4 linked regions of the Caenorhabditis elegans genome follow. The protein of the gene in region 3 interacts with the protein of the main gene of each other region in a pairwise test. Each region holds a gene or a part of one and is shown on either strand. Other genes may lie near its edges. The genes, in order: R06F6.8, rpl-32, gip-1 and fbxa-11.

Region 1 (7,673 bases), on a different chromosome or scaffold from region 3:
GTCAAATCGTTTCCAGCGCAGTAATATGATCCATTGGCAGTAATCACAGTGATTGAGGTGCTCTTGTCATTGTTGGAGACCTCCAGTGCCTTTTGAATTCCTTGATACATTTCCAATGTCAATGCGTTGAACTTCTTTGGTCTATTCAATGCGATTTTGAACACTTTTCCCTCGCGAGTCACACTTAAACCGTCAACGTTCTCAAGTCCTTCGATTGATGGCCCAGTTGGTTCTGGAGCAGCAGAAGCTTCTTCGGAAATGAGTCCACCGACCAGTTTAGCATAGTTGGCGCGAGCTTCATCCTGAGTTTGTCCCTTCAAAGTATTCCAGGCATCATACTTGGCTCTTCCAACGAAATCCATCATTCCCGGGCGTTTTCCTTGCACATCCCCAGCGGTGGCTTGTTTGAAAAGCCCGTAGAGCTGCAGTTTCACGTCATTGTCCGGCTCTTCCTTCAGAGTTTTCAGATTTTTCTGCGCCTTCTCGAAGTCAGCCTGGGCAGAGAACGAGCGAACGGAACTGAAATTGAAGATTTATTCACAAATTAGATGATTTTTGCAGACTTACACTTGCGGATTGTAGAGAACACTTCTAGCGGCGAGGGTGAGATTTCGAAGCATTCTGAAATGAATTAAAATTGATTTTTTAAACGTTATAATTAATTTTTTCGGGGAAAAGAGAAAAAAAGAAAGAAAATGGACAACGTGAAGAAAAGAACAAGGTACACGGAGGGGCCGGGTAAATGATAAGAACGGCCGCCGTCTTTTTGTTGTTTTGAATGAACTGGCTACACACAAGAATACACATTGTAATGTGTAGCTGGACAATCGCTACTATACGCAAGACAATAGTGGAGCAATTATAAATGGGATAAATAATAGATTCAGGAAAATTTGGAGTTTCAATTTTTTTAAAAGAGAGCTCAAATTGTATAGATAACCTGGAAATTAAGATTTTAATATTAGAAAAAACAGTGAAAATCAAATTATAATCCCTAGGAGTCCTAGGAGAAATCCCCTCCTAGGAGAAATCAGAAAACTGATAAATAAAATCAATAAAATTTGCAGACAAAGGACGTTCACGGCCAAGGGTGTCAGTGTCCTGTAAAAATTACAAAAACGGGACAACGGGAATTCTCGTTCCCGTGAAAATTTTAAAAACGGGACAACAGAATTCCCGTTCCCGTGAAAACACCCCAAAAACGGGACAACGGGACAAACGGGACACGGGAATTGACACCCTTGTTCACGGCAACTACAAAATGCACAATACTTTGTCTACAGTACTCTGATTCAATTGTTTTGTTGTTTTTTTTTGTTAATTCTTTTTTTTTTGGTGTTAATTTTATTATTTAAATATGAATTTGTTATTTTTCGAGTGAAATCATTTTCATCCACGCAATCCTGAACGCCTGAAATTTTTGAAAAGTCTGCGTCTCTGCCCTCTAACGCGTGGCAACCGAGCGCGATTGCTCTTGAAAAATATTCACAGCTGGAGGCCTTTTTATTCTGTTTGAAACGTTTTTGCGTTCCAAATACAAAATAAAATCAATCTCCTAATTTTTAAATCAAGATGTCGAATTGAATCTGCTAAAAATTGAACGCGCTTCTTTATTACTGAGCTTTTAATCGCAAAAAACCGTTTTCCCCCGAATAATTAATATTTTTCAACAGAATACAACATTTGATGGATCTGGCATAGAATGTTCATACCTGTAAGTTTCCTTTAGAATTTTTTTAATAAAAAATAATTTTTGAAAATTCCAGAATGACAGGCCATCGGTTCTCCAGCTTCCGAAGCATGAAAAGGATTCGACTGCCGCCGATATCAAGTCAATTGTGGCAAATCGAGATCGAAGATTGATAGCAGTCGCAACAAATGATGCGATTTACATTTGGCTGGCAAATGTTAGTGCTGAAAACTAATAAAAATCTGATTAAAAAAACATAAATTCAGCCCCAACTGCTCCTGTGCTCCGTCGGGGTTATCGATGCCAATTTCAAAGAAACACGTGGAGAATTAAAAGAAATTTACTGGAAACCTGACTCAACAAGTATAGCTGTAACGGTAATATTTAAATTTTACAGTTCTTTCTTTGAAAATATTATATTTTTCAGACAAATCAATGCAAAATTTTAATCTATAATCTAGATTTGCGAGACGATGAACAATGCTACAATTTCACAGACTCTGCGGATCCATATTTCCAACGAAACTCACCGGAACTTTTTATAAAAGGATCTCGACCGACAGCTCATCTTCATCCAACAATAATCATAAATCTGGCTGATATACCAACATGTTGTGTTCCTTCTCGTGATGAATTTCTTGTTTGCCTTCAAAATGGATTCACTCATCATGTCACTTGGACTGGAGAGATTATTGCAAGCCTCTCATTCCGTGCCAGTTCAATTCCGTTCTCCGTGGATCAACTTCAGTCGAAATCTGAAAATATTACTTCAAAATCCACGTATATCTTTGACGCCGTGTATGCTCCACTTCTCGGAGGATTTGCGATTGTACTTTCCGATGGTCAAGGTGCTCTATTGACGTCGAATGATCCGAATTTTGCACCTAATGTGAGATTTTTATCATGAAAAATTAAAAAAAAAACCCATTTTTTATTATTCCAGGCAATTCTGGGAGTGTGGGCTCCGAATATGAAAGATGCCACGTGTTGCGATGTGAATCACAAGTTCCTTCTGATTCTTTTTGGATGTAAAAAGTGAGTTTTTTCAGATTTTTCAGATTTTAATTTTCAAAAATCAAACGCACAGTTTTCTTTTTAATCTAAACTATTTCCAGCGGCGACGTTTGTGCCTATAACATCGATGAACTAAATGGCTCACTCGTTCAATCGTTCCGAGTTGCTCCAAAAGTAACAAATGGTCCTGACTTGACGAATCGACTGGGTCCGGTTCACCGAATAACAGCCCTCGCGAATGGATACGGATTCGGTGCAATTTGGTCTCCACTATCCGGAGCTCATGCTCTTCCTCGGCTCGTCGCAGTTTTCACTTCATTCGGAGCTCAATCATTTTGCAATCTGGAAGGTGTCGTCGAAGAAGATCAAAATGATAGATACACGGCTATTGAATGGGGTCCAGAAGGTTTCCAACTGTGGCTTGGAACTGAAAATGAGCTTATGATGCAACCATTCGTGAGGAGTGCTTCATGTTCAAGCCCGGCAATGGAACATTGTGATAGAGCTGTATTGATGAGTGACTCGCAGGTTTTGATCAGTGCTGCAAGGGATCGAGAAGCAGAAGCTTGTGCACCGCATTCTGTATGGGATCATATTACAGTTACACATGAATATCTATCATCTAATTGGCCACTGAGAGTGAGTTTTTTAAAAGTAAAAACTAAAAGCATAAATTTGGTAAAACCATGAGGTAGGCATGTAGGCACGTAGGTATTTTCCGATAGAGTTTATTAAAATAAAATGTTAAAATTTAATATGTTTTCAGTATGCATCAACTGATCGAAACTATAAACATCTCGTCGTGGCCGGTGATCAAGGAATGGCATATTGTTCATTATCCAATCGACGTTGGAAGATTTTTGGAAATGAGACTCAAGAGAAGAATCTCTTGGTCACTGGAGGTGTCTTTATTTGGAATGATGACGTCATTGGAGTTGTTGGAGTTGCTGCGGATACTGACAAGTCCCATCTCTCATTTTATCCAATTTCTCAGAGACTTGACAGTCGATATGCGTCGGTTGTGGATTTGGAGCATAAATCGGTCATGTCCGTGTTACGGTAAGAAATATTCAATCTTGGAAATGAACTCTCATTATCAGTTTTTTTGGAATTATTCTAGATTCAGTGACATTAATATTTTCCCAATTTTTCCAGCGACGACGTTTGTGCAGTATTCGATATATCGGCTCAAATTACGCTTTATAAGCTCACGGCTCACTTGGAAACTGGACGAGATGCTTTTACAAAAGTCTCCACTGAAATTGTGACTGTTATTCGAATCAACGAAATTGTTCCACATCCAACATGTATTGTATCTCTTCAAATGACACAGCTGAATCTGGATGTACGGGGGAAGTTGTCACCTGCATTTTATTCAAGTATCGATACTGTGCTGGTTAATATTTCGGGAAGATTGATCACTTTGAGTGTTAATGAGGATGGAAAGGTTTGTACGGAAAATTAAAATTGCATGGTTTCTGAGTTTCCAGAATTTTGCAAAATTTGATGAATATTTAGAATTTTTGGAATTTTTAAATTTTATATTCTTGTCCAATTTTTGGTATTTCAGAAATTTTTAAAACATTCTGAATTTTTTGAATTTTCAGAACTTCTAGAGTTTTCGAATTTTTGGGTTTTCTGGAATTTAAAAAAAATTAAAATATTTTGGAATTGAATTTTTTGTTTCGAAATTTAATAATTTTCAATTTTTAGAAATTTCAAAATTTTTCCGTTCCTAGATTTTTCAACATTTTGAATTTCAGTATTTTTAAAACATGAAAAATTTTTCCTTTTTCCTAAATACTCGGTTAACTCGGTTAAACTAATTTTTTTCAATTTTCAGAATTTTTCAATTTTGGAATTTTGCAAAATTCAGTTTCTTTTTAATTTTCGGATTTTTTAAAGTTTTGAATTTGTGAAATGATTCAAATTTAGACTATTTGAATTTTCTGGAATTTTGGAAGTTTTGGGATTTCTGAAATGTTTGGTTTTTAAATTAGAAATTTTTGGAATTCGGAAATACAATATTAAAATAAAATTTACAGCTCCATCAACCCATGGTAATCGCGTCATACGTGGAAAAAATGTGGCATGACCGTTGTCAAGTCTCCCAATCAACCCAGTCTCAAAATCAAGATCTTCCATGGAAGAACCATCGGCGAAATGGATCAAATGTTTCAATCCAAAGTGTTTCCACATCAACAACTTCAGAACCATCATCTCCAATGAATCAATCATGTTCTTCACATTTGAGTAATGCTTTATGGATTGCTTGTGGTGCAAAAGGAATCAAAGTTTGGATGCCGTTGGTGCCAGGAAAACGAAATTTAGCCACACAGGAAATGACGTTTATCGCGAAACGAATAATGCTTCCATTTGAACTTGATATCTATCCAATTGTGATTAGTGCCAAAGATTGTCTTGCAATGGGTGTCGAGAGTCAACTACAACATGTTGCAAGAGCTTCAAGAAATCAAGGACAAATGGAAAGTATCACTATGTATGGACTTCATCGCAATAGTGAAGTATTTGTGCATCACCTGCTCCGACAACTTTTGAAGCGAAATCTTGGAGTTTTTGCTTTGGAGCTCGCCGGAGCCTGTCGTTCTCTTCCACATTTCACGCATGCTCTTGAGCTTTTGCTCCATGGAGTCCTTGAAGAAGAAGCTACAAGTAGTGAACCAATTCCAGATCCTCTTCTCCCAAGATGTGTAGCTTTTATTCACGAATTTCCAGAATTTCTGAAAACCGTAGCACATTGTGCACGAAAAACTGAATTGGCACTTTGGAGAACGTTATTTGATGTCACAGGATCTCCAAATGCACTATTCGAAGAATGTCTACAACTGAAACAACTCGAAAATGCTGCAAGTTTCGTGATTGTCCTGCAAAATCTTGAAACCACCGAAGTGAGTATGGATCAAGCAGCGAGACTTGTGAAGGAAGCATTAGAAGAGAAAAAATGGACGATTGCGAAGGAAATGGTCAGATTTGCAAGATCTATTGGTTCGGAGGATATTGATGCATTGTAAGAATTAATGAATTCATTAATAGAGAAATTAAAAAAGAATGCCTCCAAAAAGAGAACGCACGGAAAAAAGATTCCCAGAATACATGTGCCCTACATCCGTAACTCTCCTTTTATCAAGCGAGGTATTCAGAATCAAGGTCACCGTTGTTATCGTATCCGTTTCACGCTACGATCCACAGAATCGGCACCCACTTTGAAAAATAATTAAATGTGTTCAGAAATAGAATAATGACCGAAACTAAGTTGAATTCGCAACAACGAATTATTAGATACCGTAATCCACACATTTGCATTTGAAAAATTGGCCGTGTCGAGACCGGCTACCGTAGTTTTTAAGCAAACAAAAATAAAATTTGATAATAACTTTGCAATTGTTTTAATTTTTAAAAAGTTTCAGAACACCTCCACCAAGTGCCAAGACTTCTCTATCCCGCCGACCTACAGTATCCTCACCGTCCGCTGATTCTTCCACTGAATTCGTGATTAATAGATTTCAAGCGGGAGCTGCTGGAGGAAGATTAAATAAAGTTCGACATTCACAGAGTACTGAGCAAAAAGATGCACCGAGAAAAGATTCGATTGGCGGAAGTTCAAAGGATAAAATGGCGTTGTCTTGGGTTTGTGTGTTTTACTGGAAATTTTTATTTTTATAAAATCTAATTTCAGGGCCTATCTGGTGAACTTTCTCCACAATTGGCTACGAATCGACTCGCCGCAAAAATGACATCAATTCTAGAAGATCACGCGTGGCATTTGCTGAATAATTATTGGCTTCTAGATCTTGGTAATTGGAAAAAAAAATTCAGGACAATTTGGATTCAATTTTTTTCAGGATTCTTCTGGTCCGAACTTCAATTCGATTTGCTCGGTCTTTTGGAGACGCGACGGAAACAAATTTCTCTTTCACCGAAAACTACAAACGAAAATTGCTTTTTGATTGAAGATTTTGCCTTGGCACTTACAAGGTAAATTGGGATTCTTCCACTGAAAATGTAATAATTCAGAAATTTAAAAATAAACTTAAATTTTCGAGTTTTCCAGTTTTTTCGAGAATCTGAAAATCGAAAAAAAAACTTGAAATTTAATACTAAAAAATTTAAATTTTTAATTATTCCGATTTTTCGTGTTTTTCAGAAAAATGATACATTATACGGAAAAAAAATTTTTGATTTTAAATTTCCCGTTTTTTTTTTAATTTTTAAATTCTCGGAAAAATTGGAAAACTCGAAAATTTAAGTTTATTTTTAAATTTCTGAATTGTTACATTTTCTGTAAAAAATAATAATTAAAGAAAAAACACGAAACATTTTTTGGGGGAATTTTTAAAATCTAAAATTATTGGAAAAAAATGCAAATTTTATCTTTCAAAAAAAAAAAACTGAAATTTTGAAAATCGAAAAATTAAAAAAAATTTTAAGCGTTGTAAAAATATATGAGAAAAACCCAGAAGCTAAATATTAACCAGAAAAATGTAAATTTTGATGAGAAAAAATTATTGAAAAACTATCGGAAATTTTGAATATTCCTTCGATTTTGTCGATTTTCAATAAAAATTGGGAATATTTTTAATATAAAAAACTCTAATTTCAAAAATTTTCAGACTCCATGCTCAATTCTCGTGGCCATATCCTCTCATCGGTTCTCAATTCGTGCATCAAATTGAGAAGAAGCTTGGAAATATTCGTGTCAGCCAGAGTACTGCAAGCTTGAATGGACTACTAAATGACTCATTGGATAATATAAAGAAGCCTAAAGCCAGAAAATTGGAAAGGACTGTAGTTGATTTAAATGGAGCTAGATCGAGAATTCGTGAAACGGATATTGAAGCTAGCGAAGAAGACGTTGAGATTCAAGAAGCCGTGCTGGAAAGAGTACGTGGAAGTGCTGTGGAACTGGCACCAGTAATCGATAGATCCCCATCGACATCTTCTTCAATGA
Region 2 (2,857 bases), on a different chromosome or scaffold from region 3:
AATCAGGGGCAAATTTGGAGACAAATAAAAATATTTCACAGATTCCACCTTTAAGTTTTCAAAAATCTAATTTTTTTTGTGGTGTTTTATAATCATATTTGATGATTTTGGATTGTTTTAAGAGTATTAATGCAACTTCACCACTTGGGCTACATCACAATTAAGTTGATCCGATAGGAATTTTTTTAACCGAAAAAAATTGGTTCAGACGGTTCAGTGGTTTCGAATCCCAAAATCAGTTTCGGGATTGATTTTGCCAAAAGCTCGAAAACTGGAAAATATTTTGTAATTAATTGAGTTTTTAACTCCGTTTTTACCACTTTAGTTTTAAAAGATCAAAAAATTGGTAATTCACAAAACATTGTCCAAACATTTTTAATTTTACAATTTACCAAAACCTTGGCTGATTAAAGGATTAAAGGACGATCTATGCACTGCGGATCTGGGATTCAGGTACACTGCCTGGTGGTGATCCCTCTGGGCTGTAATTTAAGCCACGTCCTAGCCGGGGACTGTGGCCGATAATACAGTCGTGGATTGCTCCACTTCCCAATAAATCTATTAATAGAGGCTGGGTGAACCTAGAGGGTGAGGCCGAACTTGAACTCGTGACCTCCAGATTGCTAGCGGCCACCACTACCGACTGATCATATATGAGCTATCTGACCCCCGACCCTAAGTTTTGAAAAATGAAGAAAAAATTGGTAAATTACAAAAACTTCGGTTGGAAATTTTGAGTTCTGGTAGATTGCCAAATTTTTAGAGTTTTAAATTTTAACGGGTTATATCCTCCAGGATATGATCGAAATATTTGGTTTTGTTTCAATTTTATCATTGATAAAATACATATGATTGCAATTTAAATTTTTTTTTGATAAATGAACACGAATAAGTTTATTAAAATGCATAAGTTTATTAAAAAATGAAAAATCGTCTGAACTTTCTGAAAATCAACTATTTAATTACAGTACTGCTTGTCCGAGAGGAGTACGTGTGATTGTCCGAGAGGAGTAAAAGAATTTGCGCGCTAATTTAAAATTAGATAGACATAGATAATTTTTACCAGGTTTTGGAGCCCCAAAACTCCCGTTGGACAAGTTTTTTGTGATGTTTCGCTTTTTGCACATTCTAAAAAAAGCCTTTCAAAATTTACGATTCAGAATAATTATTTCTTTTTAAATCTGGTATTCTCTTAAAAGTATTCCTACTCCCTGGTGGGAAGAATTATACTAATTTTATTATGAACATTTTTATTTTTTAAGTATTTTTAACATTATAAATGTTTCCTCATCGCTGAAATGTTTTAAATTGCAATTAATCGGCTGCTGAAAACAACTCACGGATTTTTGCAGAAAAGTGGGAGGCATCAAGTGCGCTCTAGCGCACCACACAAAACGTTGAATACTCAGCCAACGACCTTCTCAGCAGCGAAATTGGCAATTTTTGCATTCTTTTTTGGGATCTTTTCGCTTTTTTCTAACTTTTTGATGACTTGTTGCTCGTTTTTCCCCAATTAATTCTCCAAATTTTGATAAAAACTCATTAATTCTGCTGAAACTCCCTCAAATTTTTCAATTCGATCAATAGTAGGACAAGATAATTATTTTTTCGGAAAATTTATATTCACTGCAAATTTATCGCTAGTCTCTCTAGTATTCACAATGTTTGGTTCTCACATATTGATTTTTAAGCGTTCAATTGATCTCTCTGTTTTTATCCGCTAAAGTCGTTGAAAATGTGGTTTAATTTTCGTTCTTTTCGGGTAAAATGGTGCACGTTTCCGGAACCAAGGTCAAGGTCGTCAAGAAGAAGCTCACCAAGTTCAAGAGACATGAGTCCGACAGGTAAATAATTTTTGAAGCACCTACTCATTAGAATTGAAAAGCAGAGAAATAATGGATGCTAACAAACATCAAAATCATACAATTTTTTTTAGATACCGTCGTGTAGCCCCAAGCTGGCGTAAGCCAAAGGGAATTGATAACCGTGTCCGCAGACGCTTCCGTGGTATGCGTGCCATGCCAACCATCGGTCACGGATCCGACAGAAGAACCCGCTTCGTCCTTCCAAACGGATACAAGAAGGTTCTCGTCCAAAATGTTAAGGTTAGTTTTAATGAACATTTTTGATGTTATTTAAAATTTGAATCTTATAGGATTTGGACATGCTCCTCATGCAGTCCTACAAGTACATCGGAGAGATCGGACATGGAGTCTCCGCCAAGAGCCGCAAGGGAATCGTCGAGCGCGCCGCTCAGTTGAACATCAAGCTGACGAACGGAAACGCTCGTCTTCGCACTGAAGAGTCGGAGTAAATTTGTTGATCTTGTTATAAACTTGTTTTGAAAAACGTTTTTATTTTCAAAGTATGAAAAAGAGCAAAATATTTATAATATGGAAGGAATCAAATAGCTTGTCTGAGTCTAGCTAGGCGTTTTTCCAATTGATCCTCTTCTGGCGTTACTTCTTTGTCGAAAAGTCCGAATCTGTTGGTTGGAGCTTCTGGGAGATGCACTGACTCATTTTTCTGTAAAACAACGAACTTTTTAATGATTGTGGTTCGTACTAAAAATACCTTGTTGTCACTGATAAGATCTTCCAACTCCTGCTCTAAGTCGGCATCATTAAATCCATTAGCATTAACAAACGGAGACGAAATTGCTTCTTCGATTTCCTTGTACTCGTCCATTGAATTAACGACATCGTCCATCGTCTCGTGTATTTTATCAGGAGACAATCCTTGCCTCGCCAATGTTGCTTTGAAAGCAGCAGTTCCAGATTTATAGGCCTGCAGAACGTCCTTGTTGTTTTTTGCAGAAGAAATTTGATGAAGCATTGTGAGCAGTTTCTGATACTGA
Region 3 (4,701 bases):
TTTTTAATCACAAAAACTCATTTTTTCGCGATTTTCTGAAAAATGTCGTTAGATCTGGTGTTGGCGTACTTTTAAAGCTACAGTAACCCGGAAAAAGTGTGCTAGGGGTGAAAATTAGCGGTGAATTCGGTATTTTCAACCAAATTTCCTCAAATTTTCTCGAAAATTACGCACGTAAAAAGCTGATTGCTGGCGCTAATCGGCTGAACCCTCGTAGTTGGTATTCCATTAATTGTATACGGACTCCGTGGCCGTTGAGCCATATTTCCAGCCAATTGGCGTTCCATTCCAAGCATTCGATTGTCATAGGCAGTAAATGAGGAATTGGCACGAGAACGAGACGATGAATCGGCAATTGATGGAGTTTGTTGGTCTCCGGCTGGAAAATTCACTAGTTTTATGGAAAAATTCGCCAATTTTCTGTGAATTTCCAATTAAAAAAAAATGATTTTTCATGATTTTTAAAGCGAAAATAGGCTTGAATTTGTAGTTTTTCTCAATTTCAATACATTTTTACATAGAAATTTGTAGAAAATTCGAGAAAAAACGCCAAAGTTCTAATGGGTGGCCTAAAAACTTGCAAAAAGTTAGGCCACAGTGTTTGGGGATTTGCTCAAAATTTGATTTTTGTGGAATGATTCTATGGAAAATTGCAAATCTTATTGCGAAAATAAAAATTTGAGCATAGCTTTTTGGCTCAAAATCAGCTTGGTGGCCTAGAATTCCATAAAGATCGGTCACCGAAAATTTCTTAGCTGAAACCGATTTCAACACTTAAAATCCATCAAAACCCCAAAAATATGCTAAAAATCGGGTGAAAAATGAAAATTTGGGCATAGCTTCCGCATCTCCGAGTGACAAATGTGCTCTATTGTCAAATTGTTGGCAGAAATACGGTATTTATTCACATTTTCAGCCCAATTTGAGGATGAAAATGTGAATAAATACAGTTTTTAGTGCAAACAAAAAAAAACGAGTAGAGGCACATAAGTCACAGGGGAAAATAGTTCAAAAATTTTGTGGCCTAGAAATCCAAAGAGTTCGGCCACCGAATGATTTTAAATCCAAAAACCACATAGAATTCAGTTTTTATATTCAAAATTCGATTAAAAAGCGACTCTTCGCCAAAAAAAAGCCTCAAAAATTAAAAAAAAATTAATGAAAAAAAACGCAATAATTGTTGCTTGAGAATTAGAAATTTAATAAAAAATTTCTAAAAATCCGAGTTTTCCGACTGGTGGCCTAGAAATCCAAAAAGTTCGGCCACTTAATCATGGCAAAAATTTCGTTTTTTTTTCTATTGAAAATTAATGAAAAAAAAAACTTTTTTTTTTCAATTTTCCACATTTTTGTAGGTTTTATTTCAGCATTTTTTCTCGAAAATCGAACAAAAATAAGCACAATCTTCAACTTTTAAGGAGAAAAAAAATATTTTTATAAAATTCAGGTCAAATTTGACCGAAAATGTCTAATTTTTCGAATTTTTAATGAAAATAAATGTCAATTTTCAAATAAATTATCGACTTTTCAGTGATATTTGCTCCGTTTTTTCACAATTTTTCGCGGCTAAAACCGGTAAAACACCGAACTCAGCGTGCTGAGCACCCGTCCACGACTTGCAGATCTTCTTTGAAACGGCGATGAGGATGGAATCGAATTGGTCGGGGTACCTCCAATGGATCCCAGACCAATACTCGGACTATTTCTTATTGTTTCATTATGAAATAAGTGAGCCTGTCGACATCTCACAAGAAAATCCATCATATAATTCATTTCTACCGATTCGTTCATCAGAGCATCGATTTTTTTGCGAAGCGGTTTTATTCCGTTCGGATCACGAAGTTCGCCTGGAAAACTGCCGCTTTTTTTTTTGGTTTTTTCCCTGGAATTTCATACATTTCTTAACAAATTGATCTACACATGTTCTCGAAGCGTTCACATCGTTGAGCTGACGGCTGTGGAATAGCCCTTCTTGAACTTTTATCACATCTGAAATACAGAAAATTGCAAAATTTTGATTAAAAATCCGTTTTTCTACGGAAAAATCGGCTGAAAATGGTTTTTTTTGTGCAAAAATCGCGAAAATTCACAAGTTTTTCGGCTTGAAAATGAAAATTTGGGCATAGCTTCCGCATCTCCAAGTGACAAATGTGCTCTATTGTCAAATTGTTTGCAGAAATACGGTATTTATTCACATTTTAAGCCAATTTAAGGCTAAAAATGTGAATAAATACCCGTTTTTACTGCAATCAATACGAATAGAGGCACAAGAGTCACAGGGGAAAATGTTCAGAAGTTTGGTAGCCTAGAAATCCAACAAGTTCGGCCACCAATTGATTTTAAATCCAAAAACTGACTAGAATTCGGTTTTTATAGTTGAAATTCTAATAAAAACCGATTCATCACCAAAAAACCGTCTAGAAAATTTCAAATATCTCAAAAAAAAAAAAGACTTAAAATTAAAATTTTGGTTTTAAAATTTGAATTATTCAAAATTCAAAATCCCCGTTTTTATGTAGAAAATCAAATAAAACGGTCTATTTTTAATGGGTGGCCTAGAAATCTAAAAAAAAAGTTAGGCAACCAAGAGAAAAAAAGCCGAAATTGGAGTTTCTCTAGTAAAAAACGAGATTTGAACGAAAAATTCAAAATAAAATTTTTGGCTCAGAAAATCGTGGCCTAAAAAAATCCAAGGAGTTCGGCCACCAATATATTCTTTTGATGAAAAAAATCTGAACTCTTATTATAATTTCAGGAGTTTTTCTGCAAAATGTCGTAAGATTTGGTGTACCACAGTGTTTGCGTACTTTTGGTGCTACCGTACCCCTCGAAATTCGAATATTTACTTGAAATTATTGATATTTTATGGAAAATCTCATTTTTTCGTCAGAAATTCGATTTTTCAGTCAATTTTTCGGCTTTTTCGGTGTTTTTTCTTCTAAAATTCAATCCAATTACCTCTATCATGAAACCCGAAAGCATTTAAAAATTGCTGTACAGCTTCAACTTCTTCGCTGCCTTGTCGACGCATTTATCTGAAATTTTTCCATTTTTTTTTCATAAAATTTCAAGTTTTTGGTTAATTTTCTCCAAAAAATATTCAGATTTTAGTTTTTTTTTAAACAAAAATTAAATTTCTCGCAAAATTACCCAATTTTCAGGAAGAAAAATCGATTTTTAGTGATTTTAATTCAGAAAAATTCGGGGAAAACTGAAAATTCCCGTAAAAAATAGAGATAAATATACACAAATAGGTAACAAAACCAGCACAACACAGCAAAAAAAGGGAAAAATTACAGAAAAATCGATAATTTATTCGAAAATTGATAAAAGGGTAGAGGAAAATTGGAAAAAATGGGGGAAAAAGACAATTTTTAAGGTGAAAATGAGTGAAAATATCGATTTTTCAGGCAAATTTCAGGGAAAAATTGAACATTTTGAGTGAAAAAAAGGGCTTTTTGCGGAATTTTAAGTGAAAATAGGCGAATTTTCAGCCAAATTTCAGGGAAATGGCATATTTTTAACTGAAATAAGTGACATTTTGGCTATTTTTCACGGAAATTCGAAATTTTTAGGAAAATATTGTCATTTTAAGCTAATTTTTCAATAAAATGGTAACATTTTCACAAAAATAGGCAAAAATGCCAAAATGTTGCCCAAATTTCCAGTAAAAAAGGGATGTTTTAGGGAAAAATAGTGGAAAAAATCGCGATTTCAGCAAAATTTCGATAAAAACAACGAAAAAAAAAGGCAAATTTTCACAAAAATAGGCAAAATTTGGTCAAAAATGCCAAAATTTTGACATTTTTGCTCAATTTTCAGGGAACAAAAAGGGAATTTTACGATTTCAGCCAAATTTCGATATTTCCAGCTCATTTTTAGCCAAATTTCAGTCAGATTTCAAGAAAAATAGGAATTTTCAGCGGAAAAAAGTGGAAATTAACAGAAAATTGGAACATTTTTGATAAATTAGAGGTGATATAGGTGAAAATTCGGCGAAATTTTGTGATTTTTCGCTCATTTTCGCCGCCAAAAAGCCAATTTCTACGACTTTTTCGATCCGAATTTCTTTCGTTCGTAGAACAAATCCGTCTTCGCACTTCCCAAATTCACAATTTTCGGGCATCCGTCACGATCCTTTTCGAGAATTGTGCATTCTTTGCAATAATATGCATCACTGACGCCAGCGCCACCACAAATCACACACCGACCCTGCAAAAAAAAAAATGGAAATTTTAATTTTTAGCCGAAAAAAAACATGAAAATTTCGCGTTTTTCCGATTTTTTTTTAGAAAAATTTGTAAATTTTGCCGTTTTTCACTCGTTTTTTGAGAGAAATTTCACAAAATTTTGCATTTTTCAGTCGAAAAATATGAAAATTTTTCAATTTTCCTGGTTTTTCCCCTCTTTTCTGAGTAAAAACCCGTTTTTAATGGAGAATTTGAAGAAATCCAGTCAAAAATTTGAATTTTTTAAAGAAAAAATTAGTAAAAAAAAGCTGAAAATTGCACTTTTTTGAATAGCGTTTTTCACGCGTTTTTTGAGAGAAATTTCACAAAATTTTGGATTTTCGAGCATTTTTTGCGGAAAACTGACAAATTTAGCGTTTTTTACGCCGAAAAGCTGGTAATTTCCGCAAATAATGTCAATTTTTAGTGGAAAATTTGAATTTTTCCATATTTTTCTTTTTCCAAAGTGAAC
Region 4 (3,781 bases), 1.4 Mb from region 3:
CTTAGGCCTAAGCCTAGGCTTACCTAAGCCCCCTTTAAGACCTAGGCTTAGGCTTAGCCTGGCCCACGGGGCTCGAACTTCTAAAGAAATAAAATCAATTACTAAAAGTTTTTTTAAAGTAGAAAGATTTTGTGAAGCTTCCGAAAACTACAGAAAAATAGATTAAACAACTCACAGGTCCTCGGGATCCAACTTTTCCAGAATTTGGTTAACCAATGCCAAAGGCATATCCAACAATTCAGGCATTTTTGAAGTATATCTGGAATTTTAGAAACAGTAAAATTTTCAAAATTTTGAAACTTGTTTCGCTAACTCGACAATTGCCAAAACAGAAATTGCTGCCCATTCCTGGTAAGAAAGCTATAAAATTCCCATATTGTGCATTGTGTCGTCACGTTTTGTGTTATTGCGTACTCGGCACTTGAGTTGACGACATCTCAAAAATAACGAATTTTATTCTTTCTTATTGAAATATTAGTTTTTTGTGTATAATGTATAATGTAGTGTATAATGGAAAAAGCAAATAAAAAGCGAAGATTTTATGAATAAACTTATGGAAAAATACAAGTTAATGGAAAAATGCGAGTGGAGAAAAAAACGCGATTTTTTTAATAAAAGGTTTTCAGTGATAGTGAGGAAAAGAGGATCGGATCAAATATTTTGCCAGGAAAGTGTGGAATGTGGGTGTTTTGATAATTATGAGATTCGTAATATAAAAAAATTTGGGGAAAAGGTTACATAAGCTCACAGCAGAACACTTGTCTATTAATAAAAATCACGAATATTTTATTATCCACGGAATATTTGATTTCATATTTCATGTCTTCAGCAACATCCGGCTTGAATAATTGTGCAATTTTGAACGGCGTTGAATCGAACCTACCAATTATGAGAGAGCATTCTTTGAATTCGCTTCTTTTCAAGAGATCCTGAAAGTCAATTTTTTTTCAAAACTTAAAACTTAAAAACTTACCTCTTTGACTTTCGTAACGTCTAGAATTGAGAAATTATCAAATTCGACTTGAAACTTTTCAAAATGAAACAACTGTCCAATTTGCAATTTTTCATTCTGGAACCGAGAATCGTGAGTTCGGAAACGTTTCGCATTTTTCCACTGGTCCAAGCCGGTGAGCCGTTCACAATGGTCAATCGGAGCAGCTTCCCATAACTCGATACTTTCCAGGACTTGAGCATTGAAACACGGAAGAATAAGCAAGGCATCATCAAATGAAAATGTGTTAAGTAATATTTCCTTCACGCAGAGATTTTCTTTATTTTTCAAAATGTCTGTAACGGAGGTTATGCTGTTGAGAAGCTCTTTTCTTTTGTTTCTGAAGCACAATTGTGAGGTTTGGTCCATTACTGCCATTAAATCCTCGAACGCTACTTTCAAATAATCTTCTTCCCTGGCAATACGTTTCCCATTGCAATATACAGCAGAGGTCCCATTTTCTTCACTTTTGTATTTGATGCTTAATCCGTTCAAGTCCATTAAAACATAATCATCATACAAATCCACTGAAACACTATTGAAGCGAATTCCAAAACTGTCCACCGCGGTTCTCAAGCTTCTACACACTTTTCGGCAGACCAGTCTGAAATTATAAAAAATTATTTGAAAACTACAGGCTTAGCCTTAGGCTTAGGCTCAGGATTAGGCTTATGCTTAGGCTTAAATTCGGGCTTAGGCTTAGGCTTAGACTTAGGCTTAGCTCGGGCTTGGACTGAAGCTTAAGTTAGGCTTAGGCTTAAAGGGAACAAGAAAGTAGAGAGAGAGTCCGTGAGGCTTCCTAAACTTCTATTTATGTATTTTTGAAAACCCACTGAAAAAATTCACCGTTCCACGGGCTTCATGCGTTTCAAAACTAGTTTGCCTATTTCTACAGGCATATCCAGCAAAGTAGACATTTTTGAAATTTGCCTGCAAAAATTTATAGGGTAAACGTAGAACAGCTGGGAGAGAAAAAATGCTAATGGGAGAAAAAAAGAAAAAAAAACTGGTAAATGTTTATTTCGCTACTACAAATTCTCATTTTTAGGCTTCGAAAATAATATTGCTAGGTCTAAAACATTAACGTTTCAATTCAAATCATTCTCCTTTTGCCAGCAAAGAAAGTGTACGCAGGCGCATGATTTGACGACAAATTGCAGACTTGTTTGAACTGATAAACGCTTGCTATTCCTTAATTTTTTATTTGATTCTGTGCATTTCATTGTGTCATACACAAGTTATTTTCTCAAATTGGATTGTTCAGTTGTAAACCTTGGAATTTTCGGATAAATTTCCGAAAATGTCTGATTCCAACCGAGATGCTCAACATGAACTGGCGAGGATCCATAGAAGGTAATGAAAAAATGAATTTGAAAAAAGGAAATTTTTGAAAAATGGTTTTGTTTTTCAGTTTCGGCCCAATATCCCCGACGCTTTACAATATGCCAATAAATATCGTCGATCAAGTTTTGGAAAAGTTGGAGCCCATGGATCGGTGAGTTGTTTTTTTAAAAATATATTTTCAAAGTTTCCCAGTTGAAAAAAAAGTTTTTTCTTGCAGTTTGAAAATCCGTAAAGTGTGTAGAAACTTGCGAACTTGTGTTGATAGATTTGGAATTCATTTTAATTACATCATTTTTCACATATGGAAGAATGCCTTCGAATTGGGGATGGACGGATTTCACATCAGATACACCGATGCAGAAAACGGAGGTTCAACTGTGAGAAAGGACGAAAATCAAGAAACACCTATCGAAGGAGCAAGTTCTATGAAAATAGCATTCCAAGATTTAAAAACAGTATTGAAGCACACATCGGAATTAAGAATTTCTAACGAGCACAATGAACACGAGATTATCAAATCATTTATTGAAATTTTGAAATCAGTTAAATGTATTCACGTGAAGACAATAAAACTTGTCAATTTCTCATTCAATGATGTCATCACTATTCTCCAGTATTGTAACACCAAAGTTCTGGAAAGCATTGCATTGTGGGATACTCACATAAACAGGCAGTTTGAAAATATTGCTCATCTGGATCAATGGAAATGTGCGAAAAAATGCAGTCTGTTTGGTGATAAGCTTGAAAATAAACTAATTGACCATCTGTTCCACTTTCAATGGTTCCAGATCCAACTGGACGACTTTCCAACATATATTGCAATCAAAATTAGAGATGTAAGTTACAATTAAAGCGTTTTAATTGATGATCAAATGTTTTCAGGATCTAATGAGAAGAAGTACATTTCAAGGTTGCCAGATATATTGTGACACATCAAAGTCAAATCCAATTGAAATTGCAAAAGTGTTCAAACCGGACTATGATGGCGGCAATGAGTTTGAAATTGACTACTCAAACGATAATGCAAACTTTAAAATTCAATTCAATTCTTTTAGGAATTCTAGTTCTCGGTTTGACATGCACAAATTGTGAAAAACATTAATTTCGAAAGTCATTTAATTTCCTGTCAAAAATTGATTAATAAAAAATCTAAATTTAGATTTAGCTAAATATGATTTTAATGCAAGAAGATAAGCAAAAGAAGTGAGAAAGGGCAACCACCAGTCGCCCTGCAAAACAGTTAATAGGCAGTCAATAGGCATGTCGTCTAGCCTCATCCACGGCCTGAGAAGTGGTACCTGTACCGTATACCTAAACGTTTGGGTGCGTGGATCTCAAATCGGTTGGTCCAGTTTTTTTGTGATGCATATAAAGAATGTCCGAAATTAAATTATAAATTTTTTGGACCAAAGGTTTTTTTGTTATCACGCGCCCAATGAAGTTGTC

The links.
Region 1: the proteins of gip-1 (region 3) and R06F6.8 interact in a two-hybrid assay, tested with the Caenorhabditis elegans proteins (one large-scale study listed by BioGRID).
Region 2: the proteins of gip-1 (region 3) and rpl-32 interact in a two-hybrid assay, tested with the Caenorhabditis elegans proteins (one large-scale study listed by BioGRID).
Region 4: the proteins of gip-1 (region 3) and fbxa-11 interact in a two-hybrid assay, tested with the Caenorhabditis elegans proteins (one large-scale study listed by BioGRID).

The regions. Positions count from the first base shown.
Region 1 is NC_003280.10:10,813,979-10,821,651, reverse strand, and holds the start of R06F6.8 (Guanine nucleotide exchange factor subunit R06F6.8), read left to right. Parts: upstream 1-1,673; 5' UTR 1,674-1,702; coding exon 1,703-1,714; intron 1,715-1,766; coding exon 1,767-1,907; intron 1,908-1,956; coding exon 1,957-2,067; intron 2,068-2,117; coding exon 2,118-2,579; intron 2,580-2,633; coding exon 2,634-2,725; intron 2,726-2,805; coding exon 2,806-3,343; intron 3,344-3,470; coding exon 3,471-3,763; intron 3,764-3,859; coding exon 3,860-4,151; intron 4,152-4,749; coding exon 4,750-5,732; intron 5,733-6,126; coding exon 6,127-6,352; intron 6,353-6,401; coding exon 6,402-6,519; intron 6,520-6,567; coding exon 6,568-6,700; intron 6,701-7,335; coding exon 7,336-7,673. Other genes in the region: ech-4 (Delta(3),Delta(2)-enoyl-CoA isomerase), read right to left, coding at 1-519, 568-620. UniProt on the Caenorhabditis elegans protein: Probable component of a guanine nucleotide exchange factor (GEF) that may be required for efficient fusion of endosome-derived vesicles with the Golgi.
Region 2 is NC_003280.10:9,055,991-9,058,847, reverse strand, and holds rpl-32 (60S ribosomal protein L32), read left to right. Parts: upstream 1-1,762; 5' UTR 1,763-1,767; coding exon 1,768-1,844; intron 1,845-1,936; coding exon 1,937-2,105; intron 2,106-2,155; coding exon 2,156-2,314; 3' UTR 2,315-2,351; downstream 2,352-2,857. Other genes in the region: chmp-7 (CHMP7 winged helix domain-containing protein), read right to left, coding at 2,404-2,526, 2,575-2,857.
Region 3 is NC_003281.10:2,345,925-2,350,625, reverse strand, and holds the start of gip-1 (Gamma tubulin complex component protein N-terminal domain-containing protein), read right to left. Parts: upstream 3,036-4,701; 5' UTR 3,032-3,035; coding exon 2,959-3,031; intron 1,990-2,958; coding exon 1,897-1,989; intron 1,848-1,896; coding exon 1,590-1,847; intron 380-1,589; coding exon 175-379; intron 1-174. Other genes in the region: phf-5 (PHD finger-like domain-containing protein 5A), read right to left, coding at 4,045-4,212.
Region 4 is NC_003281.10:949,009-952,789, reverse strand, and holds fbxa-11 (F-box domain-containing protein), read right to left. Parts: upstream 1,922-3,781; 5' UTR 1,909-1,921; coding exon 1,838-1,908; intron 1,713-1,837; exon of another isoform or gene 1,627-1,712; intron 1,596-1,626; coding exon 974-1,595; intron 930-973; coding exon 735-929; 3' UTR 526-734; downstream 1-525. Other genes in the region: fbxa-10 (F-box domain-containing protein), read right to left, coding at 176-246; fbxa-67 (F-box domain-containing protein), read left to right, coding at 2,292-2,344, 2,403-2,486, 2,553-3,171, 3,218-3,427.